2 linked regions of the Lonchura striata genome follow. The protein of the gene in region 2 purifies or fractionates together with the protein of the main gene of each other region. This does not show direct contact. Links are inferred from orthologs where the notes say so. Each region holds a gene or a part of one and is shown on either strand. Other genes may lie near its edges. The genes, in order: WASF1 and NHSL3.

Region 1 (12,716 bases), on a different chromosome or scaffold from region 2:
TAAGCAGTAATATTTTTGAGTGATATCAGTAGTGGGGAATAATTATGGCTAGGTAAACTTGCAGCCTTCATTAGGAATGACTGTATGACTACAAGGGCTGGACAATTACTTTAATCCTTTTATTTATGGACGAGGTTGTCCAAATATTTATACAATGATAATTTAATGGTATAAGTGTAAAGTCTAGTACAAGGTCACTGTTTGTTACTTTTTTCTTTCTTTTATATTAGCAAAATATTATCCCTGTGGTGATATCTGATATAAACTGGGTGCTTTAGACTTGTGATGTAGCTTAAATTGTAAAACAGAGGAGTTATCGTCTTTCTATTGTTTTTGGTTTTGCTTGGTTACTTGTTTTATTTTTTGTTGGTTTTTGGAGTTTTTTTGGGTTAGTTTCCTTCAGATTAGTTCTTTAGAGGAAAGTAGGTTCAGTGTATGATCAAGATAAAAATCTTGAAACCTCCTTTCTTGTTACTCTAAAACTCAGATTACTTTGCTGCTTCCTCCCCCTGGCTCATGTACATTGGAACGATCATCTGAACACTCATAATATAACTCCAAGCACTCAGGAGTTGCCATGCCAGATCAATCTTGGTTCATCTAAACATGTACATGGCAATAATCATGAGTTCTTATAGAACTCCCAGCATGTAGGAGTTGCCGTGTGAGTTAAATATAAATTATCAATGCTGGTAATTTTGTTACCCTTTTTAGTCCAGGTTCAGCAGTGAGCTCTGGCAGTATTTTTCATCACAGGGGAATCTAGCTCCTTGGGAAGACTACGAAACAGGTTATGGATTATAAAAACAGATTAATTTGCTGTGGTTTTTCAGAAATGTGTTATGCAGAAATTGTATTATGCCAATCCAAGTTAGGTTTTCTTCTTTAAATCTTATCTTTGGGACCTTTCATCTCTATATAAATATAAAACTGTCTTCTCTTAGTGAATAAACATCAGCATCAGTTTTCTCACCAATGTGGTATTCTCTCCTGCTTACTGATGCAGAGTATCTCCAGACTATTAGTAGGAACTCCTTATCTACTCCATTACGTGCATAGCCATGTTTCTTGTTGCACTGATCTACAAGTAATGTAAAAGGCATTTGGTGGCTGCTTTAGCTTTTACTTGTTGCATTCAGAACCATTAATTTATTTCAGATTGAATTCAAGACAGTATATTTTTTGATCCTCCTTGGTTATTTTCTGGTCTTTTGAGAAAGGTTTTGATTGATGATCTTGTGGAATAACCAAGAGTAACCAAACTGTCTGTTATTATTTTATTGCATCTGCCATTGGGCTATATAGGCAAGGATTTTATTTACAATTTTTATTTTCATCATTTATTGTGGAAAACAGAAATTCAGCTTTTTTTATTTTTTTCAAATTTGTTGCTAAGAATTTTAGTGGTATAAAAATATTCTGTACTATCATTGAAGTCAGAATTTTACTACATAGAAATATTATTTTTATCAATTAATTTTGCTAGTTTTACTTACAAAAAGACTATCTGAATTTGTTGGATGAATATTTCTATGAATTTTTGCATGAATCATAGAATCATTTTGATTCAAAATACCTTTAAGATCATGGAGTCCAATCAATATCCTTACACTGCCAAGGGCATCACTAAACCATGTCCCCAAGTGCCACATCTACGTGTCTTTTGAACACCTCCAAGCCTATATCCTCTTCCCACACATGAAGTGACTCAGGTATTCTGTGCCAAATAACAGCCCATCCTTATGCTGAATCCTGTGTGAGTTTCCATTCCACGTCCATTCTTTTTCTGGGATGTCTTCAAATTGTGTGGGTTCCTGGCTGGTATTTCAATGTACTAATTCCAGATTCCTGGACATTTTTCTCATCTTAAGTTAATAAAATAACCTGAATCAATATCCAAAGAACACCTCCTGACCTGTTAATCAAAGTATTGTGAACTTCCTTGACTGTACAACTTGTCTTCCCTCAGAGAGGCATACTGTTTCCTGGTTTTAATTAAATTTGGTTATAATATGTTTTAGTTATGTAAAACAGGAAGGATAATAACATATAAAAGTACAGTCAGAGAGAATTTTTAAAGTTAGTATTAATTATTAATCTATAATGGAATTCATATATTGTCTCTTGTCATCAACTGAGTGAATTGTATTCCATTTAATGTTAGGGTCAAGGCTGTAACTAGATTTCAGGTGGAGCTTGATTAGTTAATAAATAGGATTATACAGCATTGTCTTTTGTATTACATAGGATTAGATTTGTGGTTTAAGAATGATATGTCCTACCCAAAATGTATACATCACAGACAGTAAAATCTGTTTATTTTCCAAGACTACTTAATGCTGTGTTTATAAATATCTTAAGCTCCTCTCTGCCTAATTGAGACATTTAACTTAAGTCACCCACACATGCTTAGAAGTGCTTAATTTGTCTAGGTATGTGGGTAGCCTCCTAAATTCTCTATTATTCCCAAAGGAAGCTTGAAAAGACAGCCTTTGGGATTAGATCTATGACCAGTTTCATCTCTTCTGAGAGTGATCATTACTGTCTCTGACTTAAAACATTTGGTTGGTTATGCTGTATTAGAGCACTGAAAAATATGTGTACAGCACTCAAGACAGGTGATTTAAACCCATGTCTTCCCATTTCTAGGGGAGAAAGAGCTAAGTAATAGAGGAAAAATGGAAAAGTACCTTTCAAGTGACCAGGACATTCAGCTGTAAGGACACATATCTAATATTCAATAATTCTGAAACTGGTTTTATCTAATGACTATATATGTAATGGTTTTATCCAATGACTATATATATGTATACACACACACACAGACACACACACACACATATATATATATGTGTGTGTGTGTGTGTGTGTGTGTGTGTGTGTGTATAATATGTATGTTTTAAGTGCATAATTATTTTCTGGGATTAAGCTCCGGGATCTAAGTTCTGCCACTTGCAGCTAATATCCCAGTTTCTGCAAAAGATTTGACTTCCCCTTGTTTGCTTGCTTTGTTTCAAGTGCCTTCACACTAAAGTGTTCTGTGGCCTAATGCTTTTGATTACTGCAGTAAGGGAGGCATGAATTCATTCCTCTTAATCTTGTGTGTATCCTTTAGTCAGTCTTTCCATTTCTCGAGGGAGTTCTTCAAACATCAGGCTGTTGTTCAGGAAGCAAGAATCATCGGACCTTTGGTGCCTGTGCTTCAAAGAGGGTAGATAGGGTTAACCTGATGCCCATTGAGGCCATTTTGATTTCCGGCTTGTGCTGTATGTCCTTGGTTTAAAAAAAGCTAAAAAAAGTGAGTGAAATGGTTGGCTCTTTTTAGGCACTTGTGATTTCTGGGCATTCTGTGGAAACTCCAGCATTGAGCTGGCTATGATGATTTCCAGCTGCTGTCGTCAGAGCAGTTGGAAGCTGAAGCAACTGTTGGTGCCTTCACAGACACGTCCATTTCCTATCTTTTCCTATGCTTGAAACCAGTATTTTGATGACACCAATATTTGATAAGTAGTATTTTATACAGTTCTGGTCTAATACTGTGTCCTAAATTCTCTGAATTTTTACAGTTAGCATATCTTAATTGCAAAAGGAATTACTAAAATTATTGAGTTCTTACATTATCTACCTTTGAGGCATCTTTATTACTTCATAATTATATGTACTAGTTCAAAGTCTAAAAATTCCAAGCTATCTTTTCAGAGCTCCCTGTAGAGACAGCTAAAGATAATCTCATTTTACATCCCTATTCTCTCACTATCTACTTTCTGCTAAATATTTGTTAAGAGAGAAAGAGCTAACTTTATTAACTCCCTTATTAGATCTGCCCTTCCTTGTGGCTGGCTGGGCTAATCTTTTTGCTGTATTATATAAAGAATTAACAGATTTACCTTCTTTTCCTCTATGTGGTCTCTTGACTACCTCAGAGGAGCCAACAGGGATCTGTGTTAAGTCAGTGTTTCCCCTATGATAGAAGGTGCTATGATTGTCACGTGTAATGGGCCTGAGGGTGTTTTCCCTCCAGATTGAGAACACCTTCTTTTCTTTGATAAATATGTACCTGCAGGTTTTTTGCTCATAGTGACTTAATCCTGTTGATGCCATAAACCATGAAGGTGGACCTTTACTGTCTCTCTATTAAGAAGTTCTGATGTAAGGTGAGTGCACAATTGAACACACTCTCCTGACCCAGTGAAGTTCCCTTGAAAAGCTTCCAAATGGGCCTAATTTCTCTCTGCTTGAAACTGAAATGGCATCTCCAGTTTGCAGACTGTAGTTTTCATTTGCATGTATTTTGTATTTCCAAGCATAAAGTACAAAGATGTGTGTATTTCAAAATGTTCTTCTTTCATGTTTGTGCCTTCAGTTATTTAAGCTAGCTTTAAATAATGATTGATGCATAGCACAAAACCAACTTAAATTTTTTTTTAATCAAGTTTCCAAACTTGGAGTCAAGAAAAGAAGGTGAATGCAGTCATTCTTTGTCTGTTTTTCTGATTCCTGTTTCATCTCAATATTTTTAAATGACTGTCAAATTTAAGAGAAAGGTCATAGGAATAAAATATTTGAAACGTTGTTGAGCTCCTGTACATATTGTTAAAATGCATGTCTTTGCAAATATTACGGGCAATGGAAAGGTAACAGTGTTAGTTTACATGTAAATAGCCAGAGGAAACCAGAGAGGGAAGGCATTCTACCGATATCCCAATTATGGAATAGCTTTAGTTAAAGCTCACAATCAACCATGACACAAACGCCTTGAGAGGACTAGCTTTAATTAGTTCTAATCTTCACAAAAAAATTAGTTTTCTCACCAATATTTATTCATTTCATATTAAGAATATTGCTCAAACTCAGGCATGGACAGTGAAAATAAATGCTGGCTATAATTAACTTGAGCATTTAAGTTTAGGGGAAAATACTTATGTAAATATGAGGACTTTAAATGCTTCTTACAGAATTACAAAGAAATCTAATTTTGTCTAGCAAATGAGTTTTTCCTTATGAGATATTTTAAAGTGTTTAAATTTTGGCTTGCAGAAACAATGGAATATTAAAATTAATTTATTAAAATACAGCACATTTAAAAACCTTCATGCATGTAATCCCTACTTGCTACAAAAATTTTCTGAATGTATACTGATTTTTTTATATAATATTTCATCGGTGTTATGACAGAAGGGAAAATAGCTCACATTTCTTCTTAATAAATATTCACATGACTAGTTTCCTTGATTTTGTGTAAAAATGTATTTATCTACTGGAAGTCATATAAATCAGGCTAATAGGAAAAAACTTCCTGTTGCAAGTTCTAAATGTCATCCTGTAAAGAATCTCATTTCATTCCAGAATAGCTACTTAAAGGACCAGGAGTTTGAGTCTGGAGCTCAGACCTGCAAAGGACATCCAAACAAGAAACTTAATTCGGTGAAAAAAGAATTTGCAAGATTGAATTTATGCAGTTGCAAATTTAGAGTAGGCAATAGCAACAAATGATGTCATAATTAAAAGTATTCGCAGAACATAAGATGATTTGTACCGGAGAAGACCTCTAAAGATAGCCTAGTTTCAGACCTTCCCCTAGGCCATGTTTCTTGGAGCCACATCCAACCTGCTCTTGAAGACTTACAGGGATAGGGCATCCATAGCTTCTCTGGGCAACCTGTCCCAGTGCCTCACCACCCTCACAGTGAAGAATTTCTTCCTAATGTCTAATCTAAACATTAAATATCTATTTAATTATACCTCTTTCAATTTAAAGCCATCCTCCCTTCTTCTATCACTACGTGCCCTTGTAGAAAGTCCCTCTCCAGCTCTCTTGCAGCCACCTTTAGGTACTGGAAAGTGTTGTAGGATCTCCTTGGAGCTCTCCCTCCAGAGTGAGCAACCCAACTCTCAGCCTGTCTCCACAGGAGAGGTGCTCCAGCCCTGTGATCCACCTCATGGTCCTCATCTGGATCCTTCAATTTTATTTTTTTTCTGCTAAGTAAGAACAGAAATTTATGACTTAGTAGAATTCATAGCACAGAAAGTGTGTGGCATCTCTAAATACCTAAATGTTACAAACAATGAGAAATAATAATTAATGTATGTAATCTGAAAGTATAGGGAAACAAAGCTCAGAGAAAGAGGGGGAATGGACACATTTTCATGTGTGGTGTGTAGCTGGTTGTAAGAGGTTACCCAAGAAATTACTGGAAATACCTTATTTCAAATGATGATATTTGAATGGAAAACTTATTGTCCCAAATGACACTACCTACTGTGTAGAAAACAGGCACATCTGAAAACAGGCACATCTGAGTGCTCTAGTCTTTAGCTTAGCAAGTCTTTAACTCACTTCATCTGGTGTAATAACTTTTGTTGTTACACCAGGTGAATTATGTAATGATCTAGCCTGCCACAGTATAAATCATTATTGAAATAGTCGGTTTTTTATATTTTATATATTATAATAATGAAAATCATTATTAAATCATCATCAGTGTTTTTGGGCTGTGAAATATTTAATAATATTTCAGTTCAAAAGCAAACAATTTCTCTGTAGATGTTAATACCTTTTTTCTGCAGCATGGCTCTTCAAACGTTAAGTAACGTAAACGGCAGTAGACAGGGAAATATGTTTTTCTGCATTGACATTTTTTGCAACAAATCCTCTTCTCAGGAATTTCATTGTTCACAAGAGGGGGAAATTAATCTACAGAGAAGCTCAGCTAGTAGTAATAAGATGATTATTACACATTTTTACATCCCACTTGGTAGCTGGTATATCTTAATTCTTTCTTTAAAACTGTGAAAAAGAAAATCAAACCAAATAATCTGTCATTTGTGTGTTAGGTATCTAAGCATAAAATGCATTTAGGCACTTGGTGTCGTAGCATAAAGTGCAGGGAAGGTTTCATTCTTAAATACACGACTCCTTCGTGGCTCTTGCAGTGCTAACACCACTTCTTCAAATCTCTAATGTTTTGAGGCATGAAAAGCTGCCAATAGTCATTGTTGACACCTGTAACTAAGTTTAATAAGGGAGTACTAGTTAATATAGTGTGTAGCACTGCTGAATTAAATACAGGAACTTCCTAAGTAGCGCCTTCATTGTGTGATGTTTCTTAGTCACAGCCTTCTGCACATTGGCCTAATTACTACTGTAGATTCCCAACATCATTTATTATTTGATTAATATGCAATTCCTTTCTCAGATTCATCAGTAATAGCAACACAATGCCCAGACTCTTGTATTCCCCTTCCTTCCTTTCCTCATCAATGCACAGCAACTCGTTTCTTTCATTTTTGGCACATCATAATTTAATATTTACCCGTTGTAGCTTGGTACCAAAGGAACAATTATTTCCTAATCACTTGCCTTCAGGGGGTTCTCTACTTGTGTCTGGAGAAAAAGGGCAGTTTGGGAGCATGCCTGTGTTTCCTTTGTAAGGACAGCCCTGTTGTTAGGGCAGGGCACTGTGTGCTGAATTCTAATGCCTGGGTGCAAGAGCCAGCCTGTGTGGAAGGGGCAGCGTGGGAGGTGCTGGCTGCGATAGCAGAGCCCCAGCCTGGGGCTCCCTGCGAGTGGGGAGCTGTGCAAGTTGTCCGGCCCGTGCCGATGGGAGCGCAGCCCTGGAGCGCCGTGGCCAGGCTGCAACACCTCATCCCCCCGGTACCCACCAGGCTGCTTGGCTTGGCAGCCAGGCACTTCAGGTACCATTCCTTTAAATATTTATCATTTGCTGCCACAAAATATTGTCCGTTCAAAAGCACGTTGTTGTGTATTGGCATAGATTTTTATGTGCATTTGGTAGATTTTGTAAGATTGTTTAAAATTTACGAGTGTTTGTAATAGGTCTTGTCCTGGATTGGCAAAGGACTATGTAACAGAGGTAACTGTTTATGTATGGAATATTTATTTTCAAGGAAAATTGTAGAAAATTTTCAAAGGTAGCATGTTCAAACCACAGAGAAGGTACCTTTAGTTCTGGTACTAAGGTTCTGATTTTAAATTAATACTGGATTAGTTATCTGTCTCTGTCAAGTCTATAATAAAGATCTTTTGTTGCAATCCATCTTAGGGCTTTTGTGTTATAAACTATACCTAGAAACTGTTAACAGGAAGACTAGATTAATGCAGAGAGAAAAAATGTCATCAGATAAAACATAGGTCTCAAAAAGCAATTTCAAGTTCCATACTATGTTATGCATTAATACATTTTTAGCCTTTGGGGAAAAGAGAAAAACTTGTAATCAAAAATTAATTTAAGCATTCTTGGCTGTACCTAAATTAGAACCCTGGATACTTCCAAAATTGTTATTAATCAAATGACCTGACAGGAGCTCACTAGGAGAAAATTAATGAGTGCAGACTTCTGAATAATATTTAGTAATGCTGACCAGAAATTTTGCAGCTCTTTTTCTAATTTTACATATGACAATTTAAAATACTTCTATTTCGAGGTAGCCATATGTGTCTGTACATGTATGTTATGCAAATATATTGTACATCTGCTCTTTATTTTTAAATTAACTTCTTCAGAAAGCTTAATAGAAATACAAGATCACGAAGTCACTATTTTTTCTTGATTAATATCTTAACAATGAAGTGACATGTGGTTCCATATGACTTAAATATTTCTCCATTAATACATGGATACACTTGTTTAATTTATTTTTTTTTAATTTATTGTAAAATATCATTGCAATTTTTGCTGGTTGGGGTATAATGATTCTCATCTTTTCTGGGAACAATTCACAAGATTTATTTTATAAGTCTTCACTGTAATTTAGTGCTATATAGAAGGAAAGAAATTGATAATTAGTATTTTGTGCCTTTAGGGTTTGGATTTGAAGAATACAATTCTATTCTATCTGGTTTCTGGTTATTTACTGGTTTGTAACTTTAAAATAAAACAGGTCATTAAAAGATTGGGTCATCATACCTGTAACAAAAGTTTTAGTTTCAAGATACTAAGAAGTAGAATTATAACGAAAACCAAGCCTAAACACCAATTAATTCACATCTAACATCTGGAAATTCTTAAGGGTGTATTTTAATTTTTAATAGACCATAGAGAGTTTTTTCATCAGAAATTTTAGTCTTTGTGTATTCTGTGTTTTTTATGTTATATGCATTTTGGAATTAAGATGTTATACAAAAATGTGGATTATAATTTTCTTATTTCTATTTTTGCTTAACATACCTAATGTGAGGGAAATTTGTAAGTCTAAATGTTTCTTGCTGTAGACATGCTAAACAGTGTTACATCTAATTTTGTTCATTGAATCTTGTTGGTAAGCCAGAAGTGTAACTGGCTTAGTGCGTTATTGACCCCAGCAGTCCTGCTGTTCAGAGTAGGTAGTGTTAAACCTGATTTGTTTTTGTTTTTTTTTTTAATTTTTCCATTTTGATTTAAATAACTTATTTATTAAGATGAACAGAGATATTTTTACAGTTATTGGGAGACAACTGCAATAATGGTGGCTGGGATTTCTTTTTTCACATGAATGACTCAAAAGACACCATAGTAAGATGGAAGCTGTTGGGAAGGTAGTGGAAAATAAAGGAAGTAGCATTGGATGCTTAATAAATTGACAAATCAGTAGATACTTGTTTATATTCTGGAAAATCATAGTTGAAAACAAAGGAAAAAACTTCAGTTATGTGAAATCAAGCTGAGTTTACCCTTGTAAAAAGGATCTGTCTTGAAAAGCCACAGTTAGTGAGCTGTTTCAACTCTGAGTTGTTTGTGAATTCCATTTCATGAATAGGAATCCTGCTTAACAATAGGTACGAGATTTGCAAAATCCACATGCCGTTTATTTCACCCCATTGCGTTTTGCACTTGTATTGGGAAAAAGAAACCAATATTGACCTGAATATTCTCTCCTTGTATTTAGGATACCTTAAGCTTTTGCTCTGTACATGTGATCAGAGTGAAATTTTTCATGAGGGTGAGAGGGGAGGGGAGGGGAGGGGAGGGGAGGGGAGGGGAGGGGAGGAGAGGAGAGGAGAGGAGAGGAGAGGAGAGGAGAGGAGAGGAGAGGAGAGGAGAGGAGAGGAGAGGAGAGGAGAGGAGAGGAGAATGTATAAATGATTGTGACAACCTCTCCCACCTGCACACTGGGACAAAAGGGGCCAGAGGCAGCCTGAACAACACACAGTTGGCAGGAATTCCAGACGAGTGGGGACACTGAGGAAAGCCCGAAGAGTGGGTTGTAGGTAGTGGGGAAAGGTAAATGATTTTCCCCAGCAGAATGGGAAATGGTGTGCAAGCCCTGAGGGCTGCACTCACAGGGTGGGGAGTGGTTGCTGCCCACTACGATGGTGTGTTTTGTGACACAGCTCATTGACTTGACCCAGATTGCAGCTTCACTCGCTGAAAATATGCTGGTGTTCCCTCTCAACCTTCAGGTAACCCCTGTAATTATGAACAGATATGTCAACTTTCTCCTCTGGAATATCACTGCTGTTCCTGTTAATGAGGTTGTGCTTGTTGCATTGCTACTGGGGAGTCGTATTTTGCACTGTTGCCCACACTGAGAACTCTGCTGACACTGCCATCATCAGAGCCAGTGACAGTGGCTATTTAAGATTTTCTTGAAAAGTTAATTTATCAGAGATAAAGCTCTTAAAAGCCAGCATACAAATTATTAATCCCTCCATTTCTTTCCACTCATAGCTTGCCAAAATTACCTTCACTTTGATGATATTAATTCATGGTAGTCACAAGCTACATAGGGCTTAAAATATAGTTTTTTCTTTTCCAGAGTAAAAAATTATTGCCCTTTTTTAATTTGTTTAGCTGAATAAATATTAAACTTTTAAATTTTGACAAGGAAGTAGATGTGGCTGTAGTCTGTGTCTGTGATCAAATCCAAATTGATTTTCAAATATTTTTTGTGTTCTTTAAAGATGAGTGTGCAGATGTATACAGGCATAGGGAGAGACTGTAGTCTTGTGATACACACCTGAGAGAAAATTGGTTGGATGGTAGTAGCTGAAAAATAATTTTTTAACAATGTAATTAAGCCTTAGAGATTGACTAGAACTCAAGTCCTACCCATATATGTGACTGTGTTCTCTTCTGCTTATCTGATGTGACAGATGTGCTGAGATGATTGCAGCTTGTTCTATAGGAGGAAAATACTAATTGCCCCAGACAATTAATACAATACAGAAGTCAGTCAATATTAAATACAGAATAAGAATTGCAAATTAATTTTAAATATATTTTATGGTTATATGAAGTAGACTGGTTTTCACAATCTGTTAATTACTGTCTTGCTAATCAAATTATTTCCTATACAATGTTATTGAGCTAGATCCTTCAGTGACCCACTGATATATTAATCTATTCCCGAATAATCTTATGATCAGTTCAGCAACAGAATATTTAGAGAGATTGTTGTTGTTATTACTTGGGTAACAGTATTTTTCGTATTTGTGACTACAAAGAAAATACGACATATTTTAGTGGTGACTCTGTGGTTTATTGAAAAAAGAAATTATCAACTTCCATTCTGTGCCCTTTATAGGCATTGCTCCTTAGGCTGACCAAACTCTTGTGACTAGAGACAGGACTCAAGGAAACAGCATGAAACAGAGGAGGTTAGATTGGGTATCAGGAAAAGGTTCTTCACCCAGAGCATGGCTGGGCACAGGAACGGGCTCCCCAGGGAAGTGGTCACAGCACCAAGCCTGCCAGAGTTCAAGCAGTATTTGGACAATGCTCTTAGGCACAAGGTGTGATTCTTGGAGTGTCCTGTGCAGGGCCAGGAGTTGGACTTGATGTTCATGATGGATTTCTTCCAGCTCAGGATGTTCTATGATTCTACAAATATGTCACAACTTTTTTGGATAGACAATCCAGTATAGGAGGTCTTAAGATGCAAATGATTCATTTTATGCTCATTCTTAAATAGCAGTGATGTCAACATCACATTCCAGTAATATATTCCACATTTATTTTCTTTCACATGCTTTTTAGTTGCAATAAAGTCTTTTCGTAGTTAGTTGAAGTTAGAAAAAAATGTTTGAAAGTGAATTGCAGATTTGAGGGAAGTGTTCCAAAGAGAAGATTTTCCATTCTACGACATGGCTCACAGAAAGGATACCAAAACTGTAAAATTAACCAATTTCTGTTGAATTGTCAATTTAAGATGTCAGTTGTCATCTTGTCAGATCTGAGATATATCCTTTAAGGGATGTTAATTACCTTTAGAATTTTTAAATTGTTATGTTGACTCATCAGTAGGTGGCTGTGGCCTACTTTGTTGAGGGACACCACACTGTAGGTGACTGTTTCTTCTTAAATTTGTACCTGGTCTTGATCTTGCATTGAGAGCTGCAGAAAAACAAGGAACACAAATTCTTTGCACATTTACCTTTCATAGTAGAGGAGTGCATTATAAGAACTTCATCTTTGAATTTTCTCCAACTGGTATGACTTATGATGTCTTGTAATATAATTAAAAGAAAATTTACCAGGAGGATGAACTTGGTTTTTTAACTTACTCAATTCTGATTTTACCAGATTTGTTAACGCATTTAAATTTTTTTATTAACTTGTGTATAGCGTAGATGCAGTTAGTACAGGAGATTTGTTAACACATTTAAATTTTTTTATTAACTTGTGTATAGCGTAGATGCAGTTAGTACAGGATTATGTAAGCAAATATAAGAACTATTATATATTCTATTTGTGATTCCTAGGGTGGGTGGGGGGAAG
Region 2 (12,630 bases):
CATGCCTGTGCCAACCCTGATGTGCCCATGGCATCCCACAGGGCACCGAGGCTGTGCTGACATTCCCACCGGCTTTTCTCTCCCCAGGAAAATTCAGGATGCTCACAAAGGAGCAGGAAATGCCTCTTGTGGCCACCTGTCCCTGTCACCAGGCCACGGGTGATGCTCCTGGGCTGTGCCAGAGCTGTCCCTTCCAGAATGGGAAGGGAGAGACCCTAAAATGCTGGTTTTTTCATCCCATTCCACGCGGCGGGCGCCTGAGCGAGGACATCAGTGCCTCCCTTTTCCCGTGCCAATTTTAAAAACCCATTTTTACAGCTGAGCTGATGCTCAGCACCACCAGCAGCAGTGGCCGTGTCCCAGCGGGGTCACCGCAGCCCGGGCTCCGCTCTGGCTTTTTCCATCCCCCGGGGCAAGGCACGGGAGCAGGAGGCGATTCCGGCGGAAGGAATTTGGGGTGAGAAGCGGCACCCGCGGGGCTCAGAGGGATGCGGGAGGACCTTGTCCCGACGGAGGCGTTAATGAGGAATGAGGGAGCAGCCATGCCCCGCGAGGAGATGGAAATGAGGGCAGGGGATGGATGGGCACAGCCCGGGGCAGCGGCTGCACCCTGGCACGGCTGGCAGCAGCTCGAGCCTGATACCAATCCGTGGTATTGATGATTCCGAAATTGCAAAAATTCTCTGTCTTTCAGCCCCGCTGCCAAAGCAGAAGCCATAATTGGTCTGTGCTGGTTTCCAGGTTGTTTATTCTGTTGATCTCTCACATGTTCTGCTGCCCTGCCCAGCTCTGTCCTGCAGGGCAGCGTGTGGGGCTCTGCCCTCAGTGGGATGTGACAAACATTCAATACCAGAAACTCCCTGGGCTGGATTTACAAGAACGTGCCAATATCTGTCACCTACGTTGGACAGTGTGTCCCCAGCCTGAACCAACAGAAAAATGCCAACACCACAGTGAGACATGGAGGGCATGAAGAAGGAGAAAAAGGACAAGGCACACCCAATTTCCTCCAGCTTGTCCCCTTTGGACCCCTCATCTAGAATCCTAAAATTTTACTTTTGCACCCGTGCCACACTTAATTATTACTGCTATCAAACACACAGAGCTGGTAATTGATCCTGTAAGATTGAAAACTCTTTTCCATGGACAGAGATCACAGCCAGTGTCTCTGGGGGCTCTGTCCAGGGGGGTTCTGACCCCTGCCAGGGTCCCAGGGCAGCCAGAGGGAAGCTCTGGATTCCCACAGCAGTTTGGGTTTTTTATTCTGGGTTTCGCTTCCCAGGGATTCCCCATTTCACCCGGGGATGTGGCAGAGTCTCTGCCTCCCCTCCCCTGTGCCTGGGTCTCGTGGGAGCTGAGTTTTTGTGGGAGCTGCTGTCCCCAGGATTCTCTGTCATCATCCTGGCCCCGCGGGTGGAAATGATTTACCCAGCTGGGGACCCCGCACGCTGCTGGTCTGGAGCTTTTTGGGGCCCTTCATGAAGTGTTGGGGTGCTTTGGGGAGCTCCTGGAATTTCTAGGGCTGGGACAACCTTCCTCTTCACCTTCCTCCTGTGCTTCCCTCACCCCTCTGTCCCCGCAGTGTAACCGATCCTCTCCCCCTCTCTCCCTGTCATTACTTGGACAATGCTCCATTACTCTGTGCAGAAATATTTTTCAAACTGGTTCTGCTGCCACACGAGGAGGGGAGAGATGAAAAATGAAAAATGGGATTTTTTTTTTAATTTTTTTTTTTTTTTGGGAGGCTAATGACTCGGAAGTCAGAGCTGGCAGCAGAAAGTCAACCCAAACAGCCTAATTGGGGATTAGAATCTCCTCAGTGCAGCTCAGCTCAGCTCAACAAAGCCCAGGGAGCAGTGACACGCTCAACCTTCATCCTGGAAAAGAATCACCTCCCTGGCACCACAGAGAGGCCCAGAGGTGCCGGGAAATTTCAGCCCAACTCCTTCCAGTGCTCCTTTCAATCTTCAGTTTGGGTTCAGATGGGTGAAGGAGGGAAAATGTGAGGCAGAGACACAAAAGCCCAGCAAATCCCAGCCTTTCCTCAGGCATCACCCTGGATTTGGAGCCAAATTCCCATCCCTGCTCACTGCTGCTATTGGGAAGCAGCTCAGGTTTGCTCAGCCCACAAGATAGAAGAGCCAGTGCCCGAATCCCACGGGAGATGCTGATGTGCTGGGAAGCCTGAGAGATGGAGAAGCTTCTTGCTTTAGAAATCTTCCAGCCATTTCCAGCAGCTGGCAAACTCCTCCGGGCGTGCGGCCAGGCCCTGGGAGCGTTGGGAAGGATGTGGCTGCAAGAGAGGCAGCAGGAAACGCAGGGAGCCGAAGCCCTGGGAGCCAGGAGCGTGGAAATGCAGCAGAAACCACCTGAGTTCTGCTTGGGATCCTTCCCTTGGCTTTGCCACGCGTCCTGCCGCCGGCCTGCTGCTCTTCCAGCTCAGTCCCTGTGTCCTGTTGTCCCCTCTCGGCTGGATCACAGAATCGTGGAATGGTTCATGTTGGAAGGGAGCTTAAAAGTCATCTTGTTCCAATGCCCTGCCATGGGGACACCTCCACTGGGAGCTGGGATCCCACTGGGGGCTGGAATCATCCCACCGGGAGCTGGGATCCCACTGGGGGCTGGAATCCCACTGGGAGCTGGAATCATCCCACCAGGAGCTGGAATCCCACTGGGAGCTGGAACCCCACTGGGAGCTGGAATCCCACTGGGAGCTGGGATCCCACTGGGAGCTGGAATCCCACTGGGAACTGGAATCCCACTGGGAACTGGAATGCCACTGGGAGCTGGGATCCCACTGGGAGCTGGAATCCCATTGAGAACTGGAATCCCGCTGGGAACTGGAATCCCACTGGGAACTGTCCCAGGCTGCTCCAAGCCCCGTCCAGCCTGGATTTGGGCACTTCCAGGGATCCAGGGGCAGCCCTGGCTGCTCTGGGCACCCTGTGCCAGGGCCCTCACCCTCGCAGGGAAGGATTTCTTCCTGAAACCTAATCTCGATCAGATTGGAGCGGTCATGCTCCCGAGCTTGTACCGGGTGGTGAAATCCTTTCCCAGGCAGCTCCTGCTGCTCTGCCGGCCTCAGGCAGAGCCCGGAGAGCCTCTCCAGGGGGCTGAATTCCCCTTCCCGCGGTGCCATTCCGTTTTCAGGAGCTGATTGATCACTCGCAGCGAGCAGCAGCGTGGCACAGCTCAGGTGTGGCCGAGTCGGAGCAGCGTGTGACACAGGGCGAGTGTCACCCCCGGGGCCAGCAGGTGAGGAACCGGGGGAGCTGCGGGGTGGGAGGGCAAGGGCAGGACACGGCTGCGAGTCCGGCTTCTCTCCCGGGACCGGGACCGGGACCGGGGCCAGCCCCGCCGGGATGAGCCGGACGCCGCCCCGGGGATGACGCTGCTGGAATTCCGCGCTCCGCTCCCGCTCGGGTGCTTCCCGCTTTTCCTGCGCCTGTCTCCCGCTGGTGCTCAGCACCTCGGGGCCCAGAGGGTCCCAGAGGGTCGCAGAGGGTCCCAAGGGCGCCCCGCTGTCCCCGCACCGCCCCCTCCCCGCGCGGAGAGCGAGGGGACAAAGCCGGGACCCACCGGGGAACGGGAAGAACACCTCGGGCGGCTCCGGGGGTGACCCCGCTGGCAGCAAGGGGAGGGTCCCCGGTCCCCACGCCCCCGGGGCCACCTGCGGGCTCGGGGGGGCGGGCGCCGGTGCGGGCGGAGCTCCCGCAGCCCCGGCCCCGCCCCGCACAGAAACTTTCCGTCGGCGCCGGGCGCTCGGCGGGAGCCCGGAGCGGGGCCGGGGCTGCGGCCGGAGCCGAGCCGAGCCGAGCCGGGCGGGCCCGGCCCTATGGGCAGCGGCTGCCGGCGGTGCGGGGCGCTGCGGGGCGCTGCCCGCCGCGGCCATGTCCGCCGGGGCTGCACCTGCGGCGGGCGGCGAGCGGGAGCCGGAGCGGGGCGGCGGCGGCGGCGGCTCGGAGGGCGCTCCCGGGGCTCCCCCCCGGCGGAAGAAGGGCCGGGCGAACTCGCTGCGCCGGGCGATCAGCTGGCTCCGGGGCCGGCGGCGGCAGCCCAAGGACGGCAGCGGCTCGGGAGGGACGGAGGGAGCAGGTGAGGAGCGGGCGGGGTGGTGGCCACGGTGGCACTTAAGGAGGGGGCACGGTGGTGGCCACAGAGGAGGTGGGCGAGGAGATTTTCAGGGAGCTGCTCAAAGAGGTGGCGAGGTGGTTTTTCAGCCCCAAAAATCCTGTCCCACCCTTAGCCACGGTGGTGGCTAAGGAGGGGTCACAGCGGTGGCCACGGTGGCCTTGGTGTGGTGGCAAAGCGTTGAGTGGTGGCTGTGGGAGTGGGCAGGGAGGTGCTGGGGTGGTGTTCTCAATGGTGGCCAAGGCAGTGGGCAAGGAGGGACAAGGTGGTGGCTGTGGAGGGCTCAGGGTGGCGGCAGCGGCCAAGGAGGAGTCACAGCGGTGGCCATGGAGGTGGTGAAGGAGAGGTCAAGGTGGTGGCTGAGGAGGTGTCACAGTGGAAGCCAAGGAGGGTCAGGCTGCTGGCCCTGGAGGTGGCCAAAGAGGGGTCACCGTGGTGGCTGAACAGGAGTTGAGGTGGTGGCCGTGGACGTGGCTGAAGAGGGCGCACAGGAGGGGCAGGGGTGCTGGCCATGGTGGTGGCCAGGTGGGGTGGAGCTGCTGGCCATGGTGGCAGCAGGGGCAGGAGGTGGCAGCGGTGGTGGCAGTGGCCACGGGGGCCGTGGTGGCCGTGGTGGCAGCAGGGGGAGGAGATGGCAGCAGTGGTGGCAGTGACCACGGGGGCTGTGGTGGCTGTGGTGGCAGCAGGGGGAGGAGGTGGCAGCGGTGGTGGCAGTGACGACAGGGGCCATGGTGGCCGTGGTGGCAGCAGGATGGATCCGGCAGTCCCTGGCACAATCTCACCCAGCCCCGAGGGCTGGTGCTGGTTCACTGGGTAGGTTCTCCTGCGCTGAGTCAGAAGGTCACTGGGGCTGAGGGAATTCTGGAGGGATGCCAGCCGCTGCCACCTCCTCCTCCTCCTCCTCCTCCTCCTCCTCCTGGGCAGGGTGTTTGCGTGCTCCAGGTGTGGCCCTTCCTGGCCCAGATACGGTCTCAGCCCGGCCCGCTCGTGCCTGCTGCCTGCACGGCCCGGTCATGTCCCTGCCACCCTGACCAGGACAATCCTGCAGGGGCAGCTGCCCTGGGTCCCCTCTCTTGGCCACCCTGGAGCCCTGTTTTGGGGATCCAAGGGCTCAGCCAGCGAGCTTTGGCAGAGCCATGGCTGCTGGCTTGTCTGGTCACGCTCCTCTCCTCAGCGCTTTTTTGGCAGTAGCAGATGTCCCAACAGGGAAGGTTTCACCCCAAAAGCCTGTCCCACCCCAAAAGCCTGTCCCACCCCACGCTGCTGGGGACAGTGTCTGTGTCACAGCCCTGCCCTCCCTGAGGGCACCTCTGGCAGGGATGTTTTGGCTCTTTTGCCAAGGGAGAGGCCTCTCCCGTGGCACCCGAGCGTAGCAGGACGCTGCCAGCTGGGACTTTTTTCCTCACTTTGCTCCAGGGAGTGAATTTCCAGGCACGCAAGGCTGCGTGCTGCCTGGAGAAGCACACGGGGATCTGTGATAGGACAGGAGTGGCCGTGGGAAGGGAAAAGAAGCTTGGGAAGAGCTGAGCTTTCTCCTGGGCCGATCCATCGGATGCTGCTGGTGGTTCCTCCGTGTGTGGACACCGCTGCCACAGCCCAGCACTGAAACCTGAGCAGAAAAAACGAGATGTGCCGGAGCATGTGATGTTCCTCTTGGCAGCAGAAACGCCCCCAGCAGCTCTGCCAGCCCGTTTTTTCCTTTTTTTTTTTTTTTTTTCCCTGAAGTTGTACCGTTCACCAGCTAAACCCTCAAAATGCCAAGTCACGGCCTGTCAGGGTCACAGCTTGGGGACCTCTCTGTGGCAGCTGTGCCAGCCAGGGCTCTGTCACAGCACTGCCACCCTGCTGTCCCATCGGGAGAGCTTTCATTGCATGGAGGAGCCCTTCAGTGCCCCAGCCCGGGGGACTCTTCCCCTGTGGGCTGCATCCCAAATTCTTCTCCGCGGTGTTGGGGGAGAAGCAGCGCGGATGTGCCGCGCTTGCAGCTTGCCTGCGTGCCTGAATCACCCTCCCCGTGCAGCTCCGGCCCGCAGAGCACGCCAGGAACCCCTCCCTGCTCCAGCGGCCCCGGCACCCATCCCCGCGGGATGGGGACAACGTTTCCCTGCAGGGTGGGGGGGTCAGATGCCTCTGGATGCTGTGGGAAGGAAGGAGCGTTCGCCCCGGGTGTTCTCCAGGCTCGGAGCCGGCGGAATCGCCGTGCCACACGCGGCTCTGACCCGGCCGGAGGCTGCGCTGGCCCCACGAGCATCCGTGCAGCGGGACCAGCTGGGAATTCTTCCAGCCCTTCGTCTCCAGCATCCTGTCCCTCTGCTGCTTTTGCAACCTTCAAGTCTTTAGGGTGTCTGGGAGCCCCTAAAGACAACCAACCTGCTCCCCAAATCCTTGTCTCGGCACAGGATCCACGCCCTGGGACACGCCAGGGGACCCTGAGCACTCCGGGCAGGGGAAGAGCACAATAATATTGACGGTGCTGGGAGCACTGGGAGGGGGAGTGGGGAGAGCTGCGGCAGGCTCTGCGTGCCCTCAGCTTTCCCTGGGTCCCAGTGGTGCTGGGGGATTTGGACCAGGCAGTTCCTCATCCCCCTGGGCGTGGATTGCTCATGGATTTGGGACAGGGTTGTCTGAGCGTCCCGGCGGTGGGGAGGGGGAGTAGGATGGCTCCAAGGGGTGGGAAAGACAGAATTCATCGCAGGGCACCGAATCGGGGCTCATTCCTGAGCATCTGCCTGCCCGGCATTGCTCAGCACTGAAATCACGGCGCAGGGAGGATGAGAGCATTTCCCCTTCGGACCAATCCCCCGGGGCCCGTGGCTATCAGCGATGCCATCTCTGGCTGCCCAAAGAGCTGAGCTGTGAGGAAAGGTTCCCTAATCTCTTTTTGGGAGGGCAGGGGGAAGTGTCTGCCTGGATCTGGGGCAGGCTCCAGCCTCTCTGCTTCTTCCTGGGAGAGAAACACAAGAGCTGAACCCGGGGGTTTGATCCAGGGGGCTGCAGAGGGGTCAGAGGAGGATGTCCATCCCGTGTTTTGGGGTGGTGGGAGGAAGCCTCATCCCAGCCTGGAGATGCCCCTGGCTGAGCAGAGGAGAACTGCTGTCCCACAGTCCCTGGGCAGAGATCTCTGACCTGCTGCCCGTGTGGCCGTGGCCTTGTTTCATCCCCGCTGCCCCGAGGCTGTCCTGTGAACGGGGCACAGCCGGGAGTGGAAAACAGGGAATTTTTTCCCACCCCTGGGCGAGCATCAGCTGCCTCCCCAGGGGACACCAGTGGCTCCAGGAGTGGGGGGTGGCTCCATCCCAGCTGGAATTGCATCCCCGGGATGCTCTGCACTGCTGGCTGGGTTTATTTCCACAATAACCTCTGGAGGCAGAGGAGTGATGAAGGCCCAGCGAGGGCAGCTGGGCTGTGCCAAGGGTCACGCACAGAGCCAGGATTTGGGGTGCCCGGCTGTTGCCACTCCCTGCGCTGGATTTCTGAGTGCAGAGATGGAAACACAGCTCTGGGATGGAGGATGAGCTGGTGCTGGGGTCCAGCGCTTTTAGTCTGGTTGTTTTGGCTGCTGCTTTATCCGGCTTTCACAACATTCCTCTTAATTCCTTGATGAAGTAAAGGAATCGATGTTCCAGAAATATTAAATTAGGGTTGGCTTTTTTTTCTCTCTCTTTTATTTTTTTTTTCCTCTTTTTATTTTTTTTTTTTTTCCTTTTTGATGCCAGCTTAGTCCAGCAGCAATGATTTCCTCACTGGGGTGGGGGATAGTGCTGTTAAAAATAAAGCTTTCGATGCTCACAGCTGCTTTGTAGCAGCAGCAAGTGCTTGTTGGGACTGGGGATTTGCCATGTGCGGGGTGAGCAGAGGGTGGAGGGGCTGGGCTGTGCTGGGGATCGTGCTCAATTCCTTCATGGAAAAGGTTTTCAAGCACTGGGAGGCGTTCAAGAAACAAATGGACGTGGCACTCAGTGCTCTGGGCTGCTTGACAAGGTGGGCTTGGATCACAGGTTGGCTTTGATGATCTTGGAGGGTTTTTCCAACCTTAATAATTCCGTGATTCTGCACTGGTGACATTCGATGCCGCAGGGTTCACGTGAGCCCTCAAGGCAATGTGGGGCTGAGCTGTGGAATCTCCCTGGACAATTATTTCCTGCATCCTCTGCTGCCACGCAGGGTTTGGTGTAAACACAGGGCTTGGGTTTAGCCCTGAGCTTGTCAGCTCAAAGGAGAGGGGGGAGGCGTGGGGATCGTGTGTGGGAAGGAGTTGGTTCATCTGCCAGAGGCACGGAGCGACACTTCAGAAAATGTGAGCAGCAGGAATCCCCTGGCTGGCCGGGCCTGGCACCGGCGAACAAAGAGAGGTGTGTCTGCAAGCACAGCTATTCCACCTGGAGACAAGCGGGAGAATGACTCCTGAGAATAACGTTCCAGAAGAGCCGATAAAACGATTTCGGCGGGGTCACGTTTCCCCCGTGGAAGGCAGGTCTGGTTTCATAAGACAATATCATCATTGACTCCGGCAGCGATGGGAACACGACCCGCTGGAAGGCAAAGAGCTGGGCAAGGATGAAGTGAAAAACCATTTCCCTGCCAAGCAGGAGCCGGAGCCTTGGGCTGGTGGTGCTGAGCATGGATAAAACCCACCTGAGCCTGGGCAGGGAGCTGGGCTCCCTCCACCTCTGCAGGCTGGAGCTGGACCTGTCAGCAGCAGAGCCAGCCTGGAGCAGGAAATCCTTTGGAACCCTCCTGGTTATGTATTTCTGTTAATGATTGGGGATCTCAAGTGGGGTTTTTGTGTTACCTTTGCCTCGCTGAGCTTTACTTCCCCGTGAAGGGAACAAGGGCTGAATTCCTTTCTCATTCAGGCAGCTCAGCTCCTGCTCTCTGCTGGCTGGGAGATGGGATCGGGTTTAGAAAACTCCAGAAGGAGTGGGTGAAACACCAGGAGGGACGGACAGAGCAGCAGGAGGGATGGAGAGAGCACCAGGAGGGATGGAGAGAGCAGCAGGAGGGATGGAGAGAGCACCAGGAGGGATGGACAGAGCAGCAGGAGGGATGGAGAGAGCACCAGGAGGGATGGAGAGAGCAGCAGGAGGAATGGAGAGAGCACCAGGAGGGACGGACAGAGCAGCAGGAGGGATGGAGAGAGCACCAGGAGGGATGGAGAGAGCACCAGGAGGGATGGAGAGAGCACCAGGAGAGATGGAGAGAGCAGCAGGAGGGATGGACAGAGCAGCAGGAGGGATGGAGAGAGCACCAGGAGAGATGGAGAGAGCAGCAGGAGGAATGGAGAGAGCAGCAGGAGGGATGGAGAGAACAGCAGGAGAGATGGACAGGGCACCAGGAGAGATGGACAGAGCAGCAGGAGGGATGGACAGAGCACCAGGAGGATGGACAGAGCACCAGGAGGGATGGACAGAGGACCAGGAGGGATGGACAGAGGACCAGGAGGGATGGACAGAGCAGCAGGAGGGATGGACAGAGCAGCAGGAGAGATGGAGAGAGCACCAGGAGGGATGGAGAGAGCAGCAGGAGGGATGGAGAGAGCACCAGGAGAGATGGACAGAGCAGCAGGAGGGATGGACAGAGCAGCAGGAGGGATGAACAGAGCACCAGGAGGGATGGACAGAGGACCAGGAGGGATGGACAGAGGACCAGGAGGGACAGATCTGTCCCCTGTGCCAGCACAGAGGTGTCCCCAGGCCTGCACTGGCCGCTCTGGCCAAGGGAATGTGTGACTTTGGGGAGATCAGATGTGCCTGGGGCAGTCACGCTGTGCTGGCCAGATCTGTATCTCATGAACAGCTTCTCTGCTGCTTTTATCAGAGATCTCTCAGTGAATAAAACCAGGGATTTCTGGCCTGGAGAAGAAATTCTGCCTGGAATCAGCATCTGTGGCCCCCAGCTCCCCATTCTCACCTGCTGGGGAGGCTGAGGGTGCTTCCCCTCCTTCCCCTCCCCTCCCCTTTGGGCTGTACTGAGGTTCTAACATGGAGCAGGAAATTGGGGTGCTCAGCTGTCCCCACAGCTGTCCCCACAGCTGTCCCCACAGCTGTCCCCACCCCCCAGGCTCCCTGAGCCAGGTTTCTGCTCCCAGCAGCACCAGCCAGCTGTGGATGCAGGATGAGAGCTTGCCTGCCCTCAGACCTCAGGGGGGATTGTGCCCTGGAGCAGCAGTGGGGCAGCTCAGTGGGGTCTGTGGGGATGCTGGAGCTCCCCCCACGCTGCTCCCAGCCCCCCAAATTCGGCAGGGACAGAACCACGGGGCCCAGGAGGAGCTGGAGCTGTGGCTGTGAGTTACCCCAGCCACTGGGTATTTTTGGCACGCGTGGGGCCACGCTCCCTCCCGGGGCTCTGCCCCAAATCCCGGGCTGAGCCCGGGGGCGGCAGCGCCTCGGCTCCCTGAGCAATGCTGGCACGGAGGGATCTGTTTTGGGAGTGCAGGGGGAAGTGTCTGCCTGGATCTGGGGCAGGCTCCAGCCTCTCTGCTTCTCCCAGAGAGAGAAACACAAGAGCTGAACCCGGGGGTTTGATCCAGGGGGCTGCAGAGGGGTCAGAGGAGGATGTCCATCCCGTGTTTTGGGGTGGTGGGAGGAAGCCTCATACCAGCCTGGAGTTGCCCCTGGCTGAGCAGAGGAGAACTGCTGTCCCACAGTCCCCGGGCAGAGATCTCTGACCTGCTGCCCGTGTGGCCGTGGCCTTGTTTCATCCCCGCTGCCCCGAGGCTGTCCTGTGAACAGGGCACAGCCGGGAGTGGAAAACAGGGAATTTTTTCCCCCTGGATCCCCTCATCTCTTTAACAGCTCCCACAGCAGATGGGGCAGCAAACCCACAGTCAGTCCCTGCCCAGCTGAGCGTGCCCTGGGCACCCAACCAAGCTGGTGAGGAGCTGAACCGTCAATATTTCCATTACTGAGGAGACTGAAGTCCAAAGATTAATTCGGTGCTGATCACCTTGGGAGGTCAGGACAAAGCTGCTGGTTGATCTTTAATTTTTTTTCCTTTCTTTCTTGCACCACCTCCCCGGTTTTTGTGCCTTTCCCACAAAACCCTCCTTCCTATTTATCCCAGCCTTTGATGAATCACCTAAGGAACATAAACATTGCCAGCAGGAATTGCCCACCACTGCCTGCCTGGCTGACCCCTCCCTGCCCTGGCAGCATTTAATGTTCTAATTAAAAATCAGGAGGGAAAAGTGGCCTTGGGGAAGGGGCCGTGAAGGGAGGCGCTTGTCCGGGTGGCTCGGGCAGCTCTTGGAGCAGCAATTCCCGTGGCCAGCAATTCCCTGGCTGCTGGCAGAGCAGGGATTGGGGCCGGGAGAGGCCGAGGTGCTCCCGGAGAGGGACGGGAAGGTGCCGGCAGTGTGAGCAAAGTGCTCGTGACTCGCCCCAGAGGCAGGAGTGGCCGTGGCGAGGGCGGCAGGGGCTGCCACCCACGCCAGGGCTGGCATGTGGCTGCTCGCCCTGACTTTGGGCACAGCGGCAGGACCCAGCCCCTGGCCTCGGGCGCTTTGGTAGTCCTGTCCTAACCTTGGGTGGGCTGCGTGAGGTCTCTCCGTCCCCAAAAAAAACCCCACCGAGGTGGGAGGGTTGTAGCGGCGGCTGCTGGAGATGAGCACGGCCAGAAGCGGTGGCGGCAGCGTGGCGAAATCCAGGGAGCTGCGAGCGCGGCTGGAGGCGAAATCCCCGGCTCGGGGATGTTTGGCCAGCGGGGCTTCTCCCTGTATCACCCCGGCATCCCATCCCGGGCGGAGGGATGGGTTTGGGAGGGTGCTGTGCGATCCGCTGGAGGTGAAATCCCCGACTCGGGGATGTTTGGCCAGCGGGGCGTCTCCCTGAGCCCGTGTATCACCGCGGCATCCCATCCCCGGAGGAGGGATGGGTTTGGGAGGGTGCTTTGCGATCCTCTGGAGGTGAAATCCCCGACTCGGGGATGTTTGGCCAGCGGGGCGTCTCCCTGTATCACCCCGGCATCCCATCCCCGGCGGAGGGATGGGTTTGGGAGGGTGCTGTGCGATCCTCTGGAGGCCAAATCCCCCAGTCGGGGATGTTTGGCCAGCGGGTCGTCTCCCTGAGCCTGTGCATCACCCCGGCATCCCATCCCCGGAGGAGGGATGGGTTTGGGAGGGTGCTTTGCGATCCTCTGGAGGTGAAATCCCCGACTCGGGGATGTTTGGCCAGCGGGGCGTCTCCCTGAGCCCGTGCATCACCGCGGCATCCCATCCCGGCGGAGGGATGGGTTTGGGAGGGTGCTGTGCGATCCGCCGGGCCATCCCGCCAGGCCCCTCCTCTCTCTCTGCCCGTACCATTGGCTCCGGCGCGGCCGCCTGCGAGCGCTGCGCTCCGCCGGGGCCGGGGCGATGGGGAGCGGCGGCTGAGAGCCGCGATCCGCCGGGGCCGCGCCGGAGCCCGCTCGCTTCGGCCATGTAGCACCGCGGTGCCCTCCACCCGGCCGCGGTGGAGGCGGCAGCGGCCTCATGGGCAACGCGCAGCGCAAGAGGAGCCCGGC

What was found.
Region 1: the proteins of NHSL3 (region 2) and WASF1 purify together in Homo sapiens (affinity purification with mass spectrometry; 3 studies listed by BioGRID and IntAct, with this or other methods). This does not show direct contact. The link is inferred for Lonchura striata from reciprocal best matches to the Homo sapiens genes NHSL3 and WASF1.

The regions. Positions count from the first base shown.
Region 1 is NC_134605.1:69,125,863-69,138,578, forward strand, and holds the start of WASF1 (actin-binding protein WASF1), read left to right. Parts: upstream 1-7,599; 5' UTR 7,600-7,600; coding exon 7,601-7,695; intron 7,696-12,716.
Region 2 is NC_134628.1:901,489-914,118, reverse strand, and holds the start of NHSL3 (NHS-like protein 3), read left to right. Parts: upstream 1-3,890; coding exon 3,891-4,095; intron 4,096-12,630. UniProt on the Homo sapiens protein: Able to directly activate the TNF-NFkappaB signaling pathway.